Neodiprion lecontei: one gene and its partner. The protein of the gene in region 1 purifies or fractionates together with the protein of each later gene. This does not show direct contact. Links are inferred from orthologs where the notes say so. Each region holds a gene or a part of one and is shown in the gene's direction. Other genes may lie near its edges.

The links.
Region 2: the proteins of transcription initiation factor TFIID subunit 9 (region 1) and transcription initiation factor TFIID subunit 4 purify together in Drosophila melanogaster (affinity purification with western blotting; 4 studies listed by BioGRID, with this or other methods). This does not show direct contact. The link is inferred for Neodiprion lecontei from reciprocal best matches to the Drosophila melanogaster genes Taf9 and Taf4.

Annotation. Positions count from the first base shown.
Region 1 is NC_060262.1:4,427,044-4,432,577, forward strand, and holds transcription initiation factor TFIID subunit 9, read left to right. Parts: upstream 1-1,526; 5' UTR 1,527-1,687; coding exon 1,688-1,826; intron 1,827-1,907; coding exon 1,908-2,357; intron 2,358-3,173; coding exon 3,174-3,322; 3' UTR 3,323-3,453; downstream 3,454-5,534. Other genes in the region: 26S proteasome non-ATPase regulatory subunit 1, read right to left, coding at 206-375, 500-617, 836-854; phospholipase A1 VesT1.02, read left to right, coding at 4,694-4,736, 4,877-5,051, 5,127-5,275. UniProt on the Drosophila melanogaster protein: TFIID is a multimeric protein complex that plays a central role in mediating promoter responses to various activators and repressors.
Region 2 is NC_060261.1:2,567,703-2,575,805, reverse strand, and holds the start of transcription initiation factor TFIID subunit 4, read left to right. Parts: upstream 1-3,369; 5' UTR 3,370-3,931; coding exon 3,932-4,936; intron 4,937-5,622; coding exon 5,623-5,898; intron 5,899-7,369; coding exon 7,370-7,486; intron 7,487-7,576; coding exon 7,577-7,912; intron 7,913-8,103. Other genes in the region: uncharacterized protein LOC107216688, read left to right, coding at 1-46, 250-432, 1,724-1,897, 2,022-2,545. UniProt on the Drosophila melanogaster protein: TFIID is a multimeric protein complex that plays a central role in mediating promoter responses to various activators and repressors.

The DNA of each region.
Region 1 (5,534 bases):
ACAGGTCAAAGACCTTGATTTAGAATTAATTTGAATAAACAAATTTTCGGGTGGACTTCTCGCATCTGTAATTCAAGTCCATAAAACGATAGTTTTCAATACAATTTTATGACTAGCATTAATAGTTAAAGTGAAATTCTCTATTGGCTAGACTAATTGATCCAGAACAAACCAGTAGCAGCAATTTGGACTAGTTTCAACTCACCGATCGTTGTGTCGACATACTCATTGCGAGCGTTAACGTCGAATAGCTCGCCAGCGCCAAGAGCATAAGTCAGAGAATCCTCGAAACTTCCAAGGTGGTAGTAAACCTTGCTGGCTACGAGCGCTGCCAGCTCATGCTGATTAAATCCCTTGTCTTCGTGCAATATTTCGCTGTAGATAAGTTAAACGACGCCTCATGATTATTATTATAGCAATTTTGCTTCTTAATCTTAAAAGACAACTCAAGTAACACACATACAGATTTGTACAAATAAATAAGTATTGTGACACGTACATTTTTTCAATCGCCTCGGATATCTCTGGCCAAAATTCGTCCACAATGAGATCTAGTTTTTTCAGAGCGAACACTTTCAGCTCAGGCATCGGCTCTTCCAGTAGGGAAATTATTCCCGCTGGAAAATAAATATGAACAATGAAAATCGAGTGTTGTCAACATATTTTTATCCATATATTATAGGTTAGGTATGACAAGGCTTGCAAATCATGTCATGACTGAAAACAGTGACTTGCACACGAGCGTAGCCGGCTTTCGAAAAACTTCAATGTCCTGTATTTTTGTCGACAATTGAAAATTTTCGTTGCCGGAATAACGAAAAACCGTTTTATTCACCTGCTGACGTGATGTTCATGTTGTTTTAGGTGAATCTTACGATTTAACGCAATTGTTCAGGAGACGAAAAACGTACAACGACTTGACGCGGATCAAGTCTACTGAACTATGCCGCAAATCCGTAATCATCCGCAATGGTAACAAGCGAGTGTCGAGGTATCGTATTTCAAAATATCGAACAGCTCTGGAATTTCCCGCAGTCTCAACATCAAAATCCACCTTTCCAAAAAGCAGCCAACCCGATATAAAACTCAATTTTTATGTATTTATACGTTATTTATGATTATAGAAAGGGTGACAGAGTCACTTGACCTAATTTAGTTTTCATTCCAGTCCATTGAACTATGCCGTTAATCCGTAATAGCGGTGAACAGCCGCAATCAAAACGGTAGAACGAACGAATATCGAGGTATTGAATTTTAAAATATGGAACTGGTCTCGAGTTTTTACGCAGTCTACCATCAAAATACACCTTTTCAAAAACAAGCCAACTTCATATCAAACTGAATGTTTTTGTATTTATATAGTATTTATGACCACAGAAAGGTTGAAAGGGTCGCTTGAGCTAATTTAGTTTTCATTTAAGTCCACTGAACTATGCCGTAATAGTGCTGAACAACAGTAATCAAAACGGGAAGACAAACGAATATCGAGGTATCGAATTTAAAAATATCGAACTACTATCGAGTTTTCCGCAGTTCCATCAAAATCCACCTTTCCAAAAACTAGCCTACTTCAGAGAAAACACAATGTTTTTGTATTAATGGTTCGACAGGGTCAGTTAACCTAATTTAGAAACAGCGACCAAGTTTGATATTTTATGAATTTAAAGTCGAAGGAAGAACACGAAATATGGCAGATAAACCGAAATCAATGAGCCAGATTAAACATGTACCGAAAGACGCGCAAGTTATAATGTCAATAATGAAAGACATGGGCATCACTGACTACGAGCCAAAGGTTATAAATCAACTCCTCGAATTCACTTATCGTGAGTATATCCTCTCTTGTATCGCGTTGTTTTCATCGTTTCATTAAAATGAATTACAATTTTACGTACAATTGTTCTCAGGTTACGTAACCTGTATACTGGACGACAGCAGGATATATGCTAACCATGCGAAGAAGAAGTTCATTGACTTAGACGATGTTAGACTCGCTGTAAAAATGCAGTTAGAACGTTCGTTCACCAATCCGCCTCCCAGAGATGTACTACTGGATGTAGCCAGAGCAAAGAACAATATTCCGTTGCCATTTGTTAAGCCAAACAATGGCCTGCGCCTTCCGCCCGATCGTTACTGCCTCAATGCCACAAACTATAAGCTGAAAAACGCTACCAAAAAGATCGTTGGTAAGCCGTTACACGCCATAGTTGGAAATAATTTTAGCGGAGGTCAACCCAGGATCAAGATCGAACCGAACAAAACTGGATTGTCCATCGTCAAGAGGCCTGGCACTCTCGCTACTGTTGCCCGAACCCAAGCTATAACAATTCCAAAACCTGTGTTCAAATTCACCACCGGTAAATATAAAGAGGTTTTCTTTTTTTGTAGAGGAAATTGGATTAGTAGATTATTTTCATTCCTATTCTATTCATACTAATAATTTAAATACTTATCATTTCGCAGATACTCGATAAATTTTCCATCCCCAATACCCCATCCTACTTGCCAATATTTCTGTTCTTTACCTTCCATATGAGAATTTATCTCAAGTTTCACATGCATATCAGTAGAGTTGATCGATCTATCTAGTCTCATTCGGAACTTCCTTCAATGATTGTAAAGACTTTCAGGAAAAATACTAGCAAATGATTCTTCAACAGTAAATGAATATAAAATTGTAGTGATTGAGCCTTTTACAAATGAAAAAGTATTACGGGGTTAAAGTTAGTAACGATATCTTAACGAAACATTGTACAAAAAAAATTTCACCATTTTCCAATTTTAAAATGACTGTAAAAGTTAAATTATCAAAATATCAGCATGTCTAGCTTATTATACGTTTTATTGAATTTCAGACAATTCGAGATTAGCGAAATAACGGTTTTCCTTAACATGCATAGTTTACAATAACGTCACTAACTTCAACGTGATAAAGTATTAATACAGTAATTGTTCTATGCATTGAAGTGTTGATAATTATCCACTGATTAATAAACTCTTGGAATGTGAAGCGAGTAAATCAAAATTTAGAGAACATATTTTTACTGGAAATTAAATTTATGAATTTAGAAGCATCTTCGGTCAATGAATTTAATCTTTGAAGATTGTTCAACTATATTGTATACATCATTATTATCTGCTGATACTAACATGCGATAAAAACATTTCGGCAGGTGCTGGAGCTGGAGCTCCAGGAGGAAAACCGGCTGTTGGAAAGCCAAAGATTCAAATTTCATCAAGTCAACCTGTGTCTGTAATAAAAATGGAAACTGATGATTCGTCGAAGAGAAAAAGAGAAGAAGAAGACTACGATATTGCCTGACTAACTAAAAAAAAAAAATGTACCCGCGTCATATGAATAATATTATTTTATAACAATGGTCTGTGCACCCCAAATCAACACTTCTGATTCCCTAATCGTTCTGATAATAAATACAGTATTTATCACAGTTACTCAATGTTATAGGCAATTTAGCTATTATTCACTCCCACTTACGTTCACAGTTTTCTTTCAATCAAATTATCCACCATTTAAAAAAATGAACCAACATTTACCTAAATCATTTTTAGTTTAATTTCTAGTCTGTCTTTGTCTGTTTGGTACGAATAGTCAGCATCTGGCCGAATATACAATTATCACCGTGCTAAAGTTTACAATGAATATTGATCATTATTCCTATCTTTAATTGTATTTACAAATGAAACTTGAGATACATCGATAAGAAACATCATACGATCGGAATCACGTTGGCAGTTAATGTAATGCTTTGTTTTCAACAAATGTAAAGTAGTTATCATTTGAAATCTGGAGTATGGGTCATGGGTGGTACCAGATAATCAATCAATCGTAAAACTCGTTGAAAAAAACCACCAGCTGTTTTTGAAAGGTGTTTTGCTTTTCTAAAAAGCTCTAAGATTGACCTATAGATTGATATTGTGTCCCAGAATACAAAGAAAGTTGACTTTGGAATGGAGTCGCTAGAAACCATTGTCTCCTAAAAATTTATAAAATTGATCTGCAACAGATTTCTGCATCTGCATACTGACATTGGTATTGCACCTGAAGAAGTATTACACATTCTTTCACAGTAATAGACTTGTAATTCTTAATACTTTTATTGTTTAATTAAAAGTCGTCAAACTGAACATGTTTGAGTTGATTAATTAAAGAAGTAGAAATCCCAGTTTAGCAATCAAGCCAACAAACAGGATGTAACAATATGCGAAAAAATTGTACGGATTAAAATTGATTGATGGATTTAACAGTGGCGAATGGCGTGATCAATTCAGCACTTTGGCTTTGTTAGATAATAAAATTACGACCACTACTGTATAAGGATAATATCTCAGTTAGTTGCAACGATATACACACTACAAAAACTAACTGAGTAGATTGACAAGTTTTATCAGTAGCCGAATATATACAGTATACTACTATAAATACTGTCATCCAGATAATAATCTTGTTTGTTTTAAATCAAAAATACCAAAATGGGCTAGATCAAATGTTTAGATTTTATCACATTTTAGATTAGATGAAAGAACGTTGTAATTGAGCCTTAATCAATAACCACAAGGGGATTGAAACTCAGATTTAAATCTGTTTTGATTATCAATCACGAATCGATAATTGCTGGCACTATAAGTACAGTATTCTGCGAATAACAGGGCAATTCAAGTTTTTGTTGCAAAAATGAAGCTACTGCTCATAGCTGTTCTTGCGATTACTGCCTCAGGTACGATACCATTCAATATTACTTGATTTTTCTCGATTATCGATTCACAGTGCCGTGAATTTATTTCATCATACCATTTCCAACAATTTCGAGGCACTTGGTTTACATCGAAAATTAATTATTTGATCAAAATAATGCAGTTTACGCTGGGGAGGTGATTGAACCTGAGCATGACTACATGTATTTCCCTGACGGAGACGGAGTTCCTCAACTGATCGACCTGCTGGAAAAGGGTGAAGATCTGACTGGTTTTGATTCGAGTGATTCCATCCTTTCTCGCAATGTCGAAACCATAACATTCAATCTTTTTACTCGGTGAGAATAGAGTTCTGTTGACTTTTAAGCGCCGTCTGACCAGCTCAAGCTAATTACAGTCTTCTCTTTGCACAGTAACAACCCCAGGAATTCTCAGCTCTTAGTTCTCAACTCCGTATCTAGCGTCAGTGGTAGTAACTGGAGCAGTTCTCGCCCGACTCGATTTATCACTCATGGATGGAGGTCGAACCAGAATTCAGACGCCTGCATTACCATCCGCGATGGTAAGAAACCGGTGCAAACTTATTATCAAAAATAAACTGTAGTTATATTAGAATCCAGAGTAGTTCTTGATACATTTCAATAAGAGATCTGTTGATTTACCCCTAAGAAAGGGCTGAACAAGGAATGAAATATTAACTTGGCGTTGTATCTTACAGCATCTAAGCGGATTTCGATCATCCCAGCTGAATGGAACATTTATCAGATGAATCCTCTGCTGTCCAAAAACGGGTGAAAAAAAAAAAATATTCCATTCAGCTG
Region 2 (8,103 bases), on another chromosome or scaffold:
TCTACGAAACCGGTAGACCCGCAAAACGTACAGGACGACCGTAAAGGTGAATATTGATACCCAATCCGATAGTCTGTATCCATGTATTTTGTCACCATTCTCCAACGATTTTAGAGCATTGGAGCCTGGTGCAGTGAGTATTAACATTAGTGAGCAGTACTGCAGTTAGCAAACATGAACACCAATTACCAGTTGGTTTGTGCAAACGTGTAGGTAAATAAATTTCATTAATCAGAAATATTTTTTCAGTGACACAATGGCGCTCTTTGCTTTCAACGTGGCAGTCCATAGCTCTGATGTGCACTCTGATGTGCACTGTAGGATTCTGTCTTGTCACCACTTTTGTTAGTGCAGTCCTACTTTTGAGGGATACGGAACTACCGTCAATCCCAATTTTCTTCAGAGTTTCTGACTGGTTGACAGACGGCGATGGTAAGATACAAATTTTACAATCTAATCATCGCATCTTCTTTTATAATTCGATTTCCCAGATTGCTTGGGTTAGATGAAATTTGCACAATCACGGCTATTCTAATGAAATTCAAACTGTCTGAAAATAATTAATAGTCTCGTCTCATGCTATCTGTTCTGGATAAAATCTAAAACAGTATAATTGTCGCATTGTACAGTTTCGACACGTAACTCCTGATAACAATGCTGGACGATAGCTTCTTTCAACCAAAGTCTGACGAATATTTGTATTACGCGTTCATGCTACTTGGTATAGGATGTGGGAAAGTCCCACCTCATTATCGTATGTACCGCACGACGAAAAATATACAATTTCCTACTGAAATAATGTGAACTAGCTATGCTGTAACTTGTGCATTTTGACCTCACTTAGCTTACTTACGGTGGAAAATAATTTCGATGCACAACTTGAGGCTTCGCGCTTTTTTGATATTCTTTATAACAGCTATCGCATGCATTGTCCTCAATGCCAACATTGAATGGCCGCATTCTTACTTATAGTTTTCGGACTATTAGTCGCGTCCCGGTGTGAATTAAGTTTAACTTCAACATACGCAAGTGAACCGATACTTTTTTCATTTTTAACCCTCATTGTCAATGCTTACGGTTAAATATGATTGCTGTACGCGGTTTTGCGGGATTGTTACAACAGTGACACTCCAGCGTTATCACGAGTTTGTCGTTATATGGGAGGCAGGAAGGCTTCTAGGCAACTGCGATACTACAAATCAGCTCTGTGGTCCGATTATAATGATTTTCCGGCGAATCACAATCAATCGTGAACACGGAACCGTCCTAATTGAAGATCCGAAATATCTATGAACTGCAATTTTGTATTTTCCCAATTGCTGCTAGGATTGAAATAATTCTAACTCAGACGTACCAAAAGCCGTCTGATTTTCGAATGGATTCATCTCCATACCAAAACTTGAATCCCCCGTCTGTTAAACTCAGTCCTATTCATATGATTTAAGATCATTAAAAGATAGAGCTGATAAACTGGCACCTTAAAACAATACATTGTGAACATTTAGATATGAAGATTTTATTATCATTCTGCGGTCAGTGTCATATCTTATTTTGATGTTTGATTTAGAAATTCACTGTTTATCTATAGTGATTTAAGAAAGGTCGACGATTATAGTTCAAGGTCCGAAAGATTATTTTCTGTCGTAAGAAAAAAAAAAAAAAAAAATGGAAATTAATACGTCAAATTAAACTGTTCTTTAAAGAAAATTGAGTATCTTTTCAGTGACACAATGGTGGTCTTTCCTTTTATCGTGGCGATCCATAGCTCTGATGTGTGCTATGGGATCCTGCGTCGTCGCTGCGGTGGTTGTCAATATGGCATTATACTCGCAAGATTTAAATATGCCATCAATCTCCACTGTTACAAAAATTCCCGACTCATCGGTAGACATTAATGGTAACGAACAAAATTTTCGCATATTGAATGAAGTTATGAACATATCCCAACGTTATAAATGCCTCGTGAAATCATTTTACATTAATTAAAAATTCTGTTTTTAATGTTATTTCAATTTTCGTAGGCCTCCCGTTGGGCACGATGATTAGATTTGTTACACGAGATGAATGGGGCGCACAGCCACCAGTGGAACCCGCGGCAAGGTTGAAGCATCCAGTCCCCTACGTGATCATCAGCCATACTGCAACTGATTTTTGCCACACGCAATCGTCATGTGTGTATCGAGTCCGATTAGTACAATGTTATCACATAGAATCTCGAAATTGGTGCGACATTGCCTACAACTTTCTGATTGGCGGGGATGGTTACGTATACATTGGCCGTAACTGGGACTACGTTGGGGCTCATTCGTACGATTACAATGCCAGAAGTATCGGAATCTCTTTCATTGGGACGTATAATACCGTCACCCCATCGAAACATCAGCTGCACGCACTTCAACAACTTGTAGACCTCGGTGTCACGACTGGGAGGATTGCAAGAAATTATAAGCTTTTAGGTCATCGACAGGTTTCCAGAACTCTCAGCCCTGGTGACGCGCTATACAATGTTATAAAAACGTATCCACATTGGTCCCCCACACCCTGACATTCTTCGGATCGATGAGATTCCAATATGTGCAAGGGTAGCAGTATACTCATTTATTTTTCATTTCTTTGGTATGGTGAATTTTTACTGGGAACTCTCAATAGGTACTTCATTTTTATTTCGTCTTACATATCTTATTTATTTCATGCCAATTTTTTGGGTAATGTAAGTGTATACAGCATTTTGCTACTAGTACTTTTTTATCATGTATTACAAGTCGTGTTGCATATCAAATCTCATTTTCTCCTCAATGAGGGGTCTTTTTCAAAACGAAAGCCTTGTACAGTGTCCCACATTAATGCCACTACTAGTGTTTCGAGTAAATTTAAAATATCAAGTATACACAGAATTTTCATGAATTAGTATCGTTGATATGAAAATATTGTTGTTCCTTGACTGGAAATGATTTTTAATAAAGATATTGTTTTGTATAGTTGTTATTTGTAATAGTTTTCAATAGTGATTTGATACGTTTTAATTTATCGAAATATTTAATAAAATTTGTCGTATGTAGAAATCGGATGATTGTAACATAGATATTATAATATAAAATATCTCGAGAGCAAATCATTCAAACAAAGCTTGTTGTAATAGCTATAACAGTCCAAGTTTTGAGTTGGCGTTTCGAAATTGCAACATTCGAAAGTGCAGCTGTTTTACCGGGCATAATAAAGGTGGATTCGCATGGCCGTGGCTTTACGTCGCAGTAATAATAGAAACCCTCCTGTATCGATGGGACAGCAACTGCGGCGTTGAAATGACTTTGTGAACGCACAAAGCTAAATCATTTGTATAAACTTACGAGTGTCCAGTCTCGTGTGATGAGTTAGTTTATGGTCAATTGTATTTCTGTTTATCGAATCATCAACAAATACTTGTGTTGAATGTTATCTGGAAATAATAAGAGAAGAACTAAACGAAAGAAATTGAAAAAGAAAAAACGAGAACGAAATCGACTACGCGAATCTTAAACTAATCGGGACCAGAAATGAGTTTGAAATGACTTATTGGTTGACTATTTCCGAGCTGGCCATTTTGGCGGGTGACGTGTTTTGGTGTTCTACTCATTGACATGCAGCCATATCAAAAGAAGGTGTAAAGGAGGGAAAGGCATTAACGCAAGGCTAGTAGGCGTTCACTGCGTTACGTAACGCGTAAAATGAGTAGCGTCGAAATAGCCGGTATAAAGAAGTAGCGAGGAAAAAACAAGAAGTAAACAGTACGAGGATACTATGGGGAATAATATCGATTTGCGCGTGTACTGCCCGATGGTAAACAGAAGATATGATGTATTCAATTTCCAGCTGCGCTAGGGGCAATGCACGATGGGAATAATTTTCTGTAGGCGCATGCGCAGTTCAGTTTACAGTTGGAGCTTGAAAGAAAATGGCGTCAGCTAAGTTTCTGGAGGAAGCTCTTAGTACGGACGTCGATGAATCCGCAGTAAACGCGATCGTCGGTTCGCTCGAGACGCAGTTGGTCACATCAACGCCGCCGATCTCAACCCACCAAGTGAACTCCGGTTCGGTTAATCAAAACCGTCAGTTAAACAGTGGGATTTCAAACGGGGGTACCATCATCTCCGCGGGACTGAAACATGGGGTTGCTAACGGCGGTGCTACTTCGATGAACAACCTGATATCCCAGGACCCGAGCAAGTCAATCACGACCAGCACCCTGTTGCCGGTGAACGTCGTCACCTCGAACACGATAGCGCATACAACATCGCAACAGCATCCACAGTCAGGAATTCCCGCTGCTGCCTACATAAACCAAGTCACAACCAATCAACAAACGAACATTACTAATATAACCAAAACACACGATCACCAACAACAGCAGCAGCAGCAGCAACATCAGCAACAGCAGCAGCACCAGCAGTCTGTCAAACTGGTGTATCCCTCACAGGGACAGACCATATCCACCACAGGTGTGGTTAACGTTAACAACAGGCTGTCATTCCCCACCCAAACAGTTGGCCATTTACCCAACGGCAGTCTAGGGGTGACCACGCAGACTGTGCTTCAGACTACCTCCGGCCTTGCTCACAACATCGGCTCTATAACACAGGCCAACAGCCAGTCCTCGGCTAATGTCAACAAGCAGCAGGGGGGTGGCACTGCCTTGGTTATAAAGACTAGCGCCACACCTGGGGGAATGGTTTCCGTCCCAATGTCCGTTCCCGTTTCAGTGGCTGGGAATGCCACCAGCACCACCCTGCAAGGGAAGGCTGGCGTCACTTCTACCATAGTACCTAGCAATGTCCAAATTTTAAACGTAAACACAATGAGGCCCGGTACTCCTGTCGCTGGACAACAGCAGGGCAAGCAAGTTGCCTCGAGGGTCGTCATTGGACAACACATGGTCGGTGCCAGACCTGGTGCACCCGGGGTAAGATGCTTTTTTAACGACATTTTCATTCATCATTTTCGCATTCATTTGCTCTTGCCAATATTTCGGTATCAACTTTTCTGCAATCCCTCCAATAACCTTGCAGAATATCAAAAGTGACTGGTATTTTATGTATCTCGTGTTTTTCAAGACTTATTTGTCAATCACAGAACTGTCTTTTTATTTTCTATTTTACAATAACCTTGAAACAGTTTCGCCCATTCATTCTTGCTCAAGCGAGCAAACCAAGTGTCAGCGCCGATTTCTGCATGTTTACAGTGAATCATTTTTGATGTGCGCAATATCGTTATTATTTTCATTTTTTTTTAACAATTTCCATTTTATGATCTCAAACGCAGATTCAGTTTATCGGCTATTCAAAAAGAAAAAATCATTATAAGTTTGAATAACATGTTACAATTTTTGTTATCTAGGGTTTCAGCTATGCAGAATTGATTTTTTCATCCGATGACGATTTCAAACTATATTTTAAGTAAAATACATGTGCAAAAGTTGCAAACTACCGAATCTTCTCCTGTTATAATCTTCAAATTCAAGGTTCTCAGTTTGCGGAAACAAATGGCCAGTTTATTCCTAGCAGCGATCGATTGTTAACGCATTCACTGTCAATGAAACTACCAGATTTTGATGAAACCGATTTAACATTTGGGAATTTGGCATTTCAGATAACACTGCAGGCCCTCCAAGGTCTTCAACCTGGAACCCAGGGACATCTGCTTTTGAAAACTGAGAATGGGCAATACCAATTGCTGAGGGTAGGACCGGCGCCACCCACAGGTACCCCTGGGGGAGGGAATGTCACCCCGAACAGTATTGCCGGAAGCGCAGTGGTTGCTCCGACCGCAGGCACAACTTATCGCCTAACCTCTGTGCCGGCTGTAAGTAGGCTGAACACTCAGTTCACTGGCCCGCCACTCGCCACGTTAAGAAAACCCATTCAGGTGACGCACACTCATAACTCGTAAGAGTCTCTTGATGTAGTGGCGTTGTAGATTTGCACTGTTTTATTGACTTTAGTTGATTGGAATAGTGGTTTTTCCTTTCATTTTTTGTCCTTTTTTCTTAGAAGCGCAATATACCGTGCATATCTTTGTTGGAAAGTGTTACAAGTCCAAGTTGGATTTATATTTTACTGTAAATTCAATTGTCAATTTGTTACAAGAAATACGTGGAATGATTCTTGGTAACCGTTTTCTTTCCTCCGGCAATGTTTTATTCTCATCGACGTAATATTTGATATCATTTTTAACTAATTTTCGTTGGACATATGATTTGATTTAGAATTTACGATAGATGTCACTCGAATGTTTTTCTCTGTATCGCAAGGTATGCATCACACTGCATATATTGTATCACTTTATTATCATTTTGTACTATTCAGGATATTTTTTTGACAGAAGTTTTTAAATTGCAAATTTTGCCTTCCTACTATTGAAAAGAAGTTTTCTGAATTACTAAAAGTAAACTTATTAAATTCGTCAGTATCATCAGTTTCAATGATAAATAGAAATTCGTAACTTTAAAAATGTTTAGCTATTATATTCATGTCATACGGTATTATTTGAGGTGTTGAATACCACTGACCATTTGCAACCAGTCTTATTAATATTCTCGATTAAGCTACCATGTAATTTTTCGATGAGCCCGAACTACAATGTCGGTTGCATGTCTGTTAAGTAGAAATATCAAAGTGTTCTTACAATGCTTGATAAATATGTAATTGGTCAGTTTATGTGATGCTATTTGAGTAGGTACAATTCACTTTTTCATTTCAAATAGCCACGTTTGATTGCAAAAAATCAATCAAAGTTCATAATCTCAGTCCAAGTATTAATTTCTACTATTATTTACAAATTTAGTTCGTTTTTTGTCTTTTTTGTATTGTATACTATTCCCACAGCTTAAGTATGGAATGATATATCCATTAGCATAAATTCCACACGATTGTCCAACTGCTAAACGGCTATTTAGACATGAAAAAAATGTTGCTAGTGGTATAGAAGTGAATTTCATAGTGCTTGATGATTACGCGCCCTTCAGTTTTCTGTAATGGCAAATTCTGTCATGTTTGTATCACATTTTTATTATTATACGTGTAGTTTGATTGCCGAAATTATTTACTTATTCGTTGTATTTGTTCTGTGACATGAAATTGCGTGTGAGTAGTAGTGGTGCATTATTTTAACGGTAGTGGTTTGCGCAAATTACGTATTTATTTTTTATTTTTTTTTTTATTTTTCCCTCAAATTGCAACTGTAGTAAAAGAAAACGATATGAAAATCAACGCTTCCTTGATTGACAAAATTTCATCCAGTATAAAAAAAAATGTTTGAACGGATTTTCATATCGTTCCTCAATATTGCAAATATGAAAAGCAATGAGGTTAGTTACAAATGATTAATTTTCATCTAGACGGTAGCTGCAAGTGTTACAACTGTGACCACGACTCCTGGTACTGTAACTACTGTAGCAGCCGCAGCTCCAATACCTGCTGCAACTAAAGTTCCAACAGCACAAAGTCCTGCCCAGGTAAAAAACATGTTGACTTTTGTCTTTGTTTCATGTACAACCATCGCGAATTAATAATATAATAAAAATGGTGTAATTCTTCTTTTTCAGCGTCAAACCACAGATAATACCAAAGAAAAGTGCCGTAAATTCTTAGCAAATTTGTTAGAGTTGTCTAGTCGAGAACCTAAAGCAGTGGAACGAAATGTTCGGACGTTGATTCAAGAATTAATTGATACTAAAGTTGAACCGGAAGAATTTTGTGATAGACTTGAAAGATTGCTTAATGCCTCGCCTCAACCATGCCTCATCGGGTTCCTCAAGAAGAGCTTGCCGCTTCTCAGACAGTCCCTCGTCACCAAGGATCTTGTTATTGAAGGCATACGTCCCCCTCCTGCAAACGTTGTTTTCTCCATAGCAGACAGTACGTCGGTAGCTCAGGCACAGGTGGGTGTATTCAATATGGCAAACTGTTGTATTAAAATTTTCATATTAATATTGTCGATATCCGTCCATGTTTAAATTATAATCAGGGTTGTTACGTGACCTAGCAAATCGAGATGTTCTTTGGGGGGGGATTATTTGTCATGTTGGAAAAGTCGAGGAATTTCACGTAATTATAAACGCTCATTAAATAT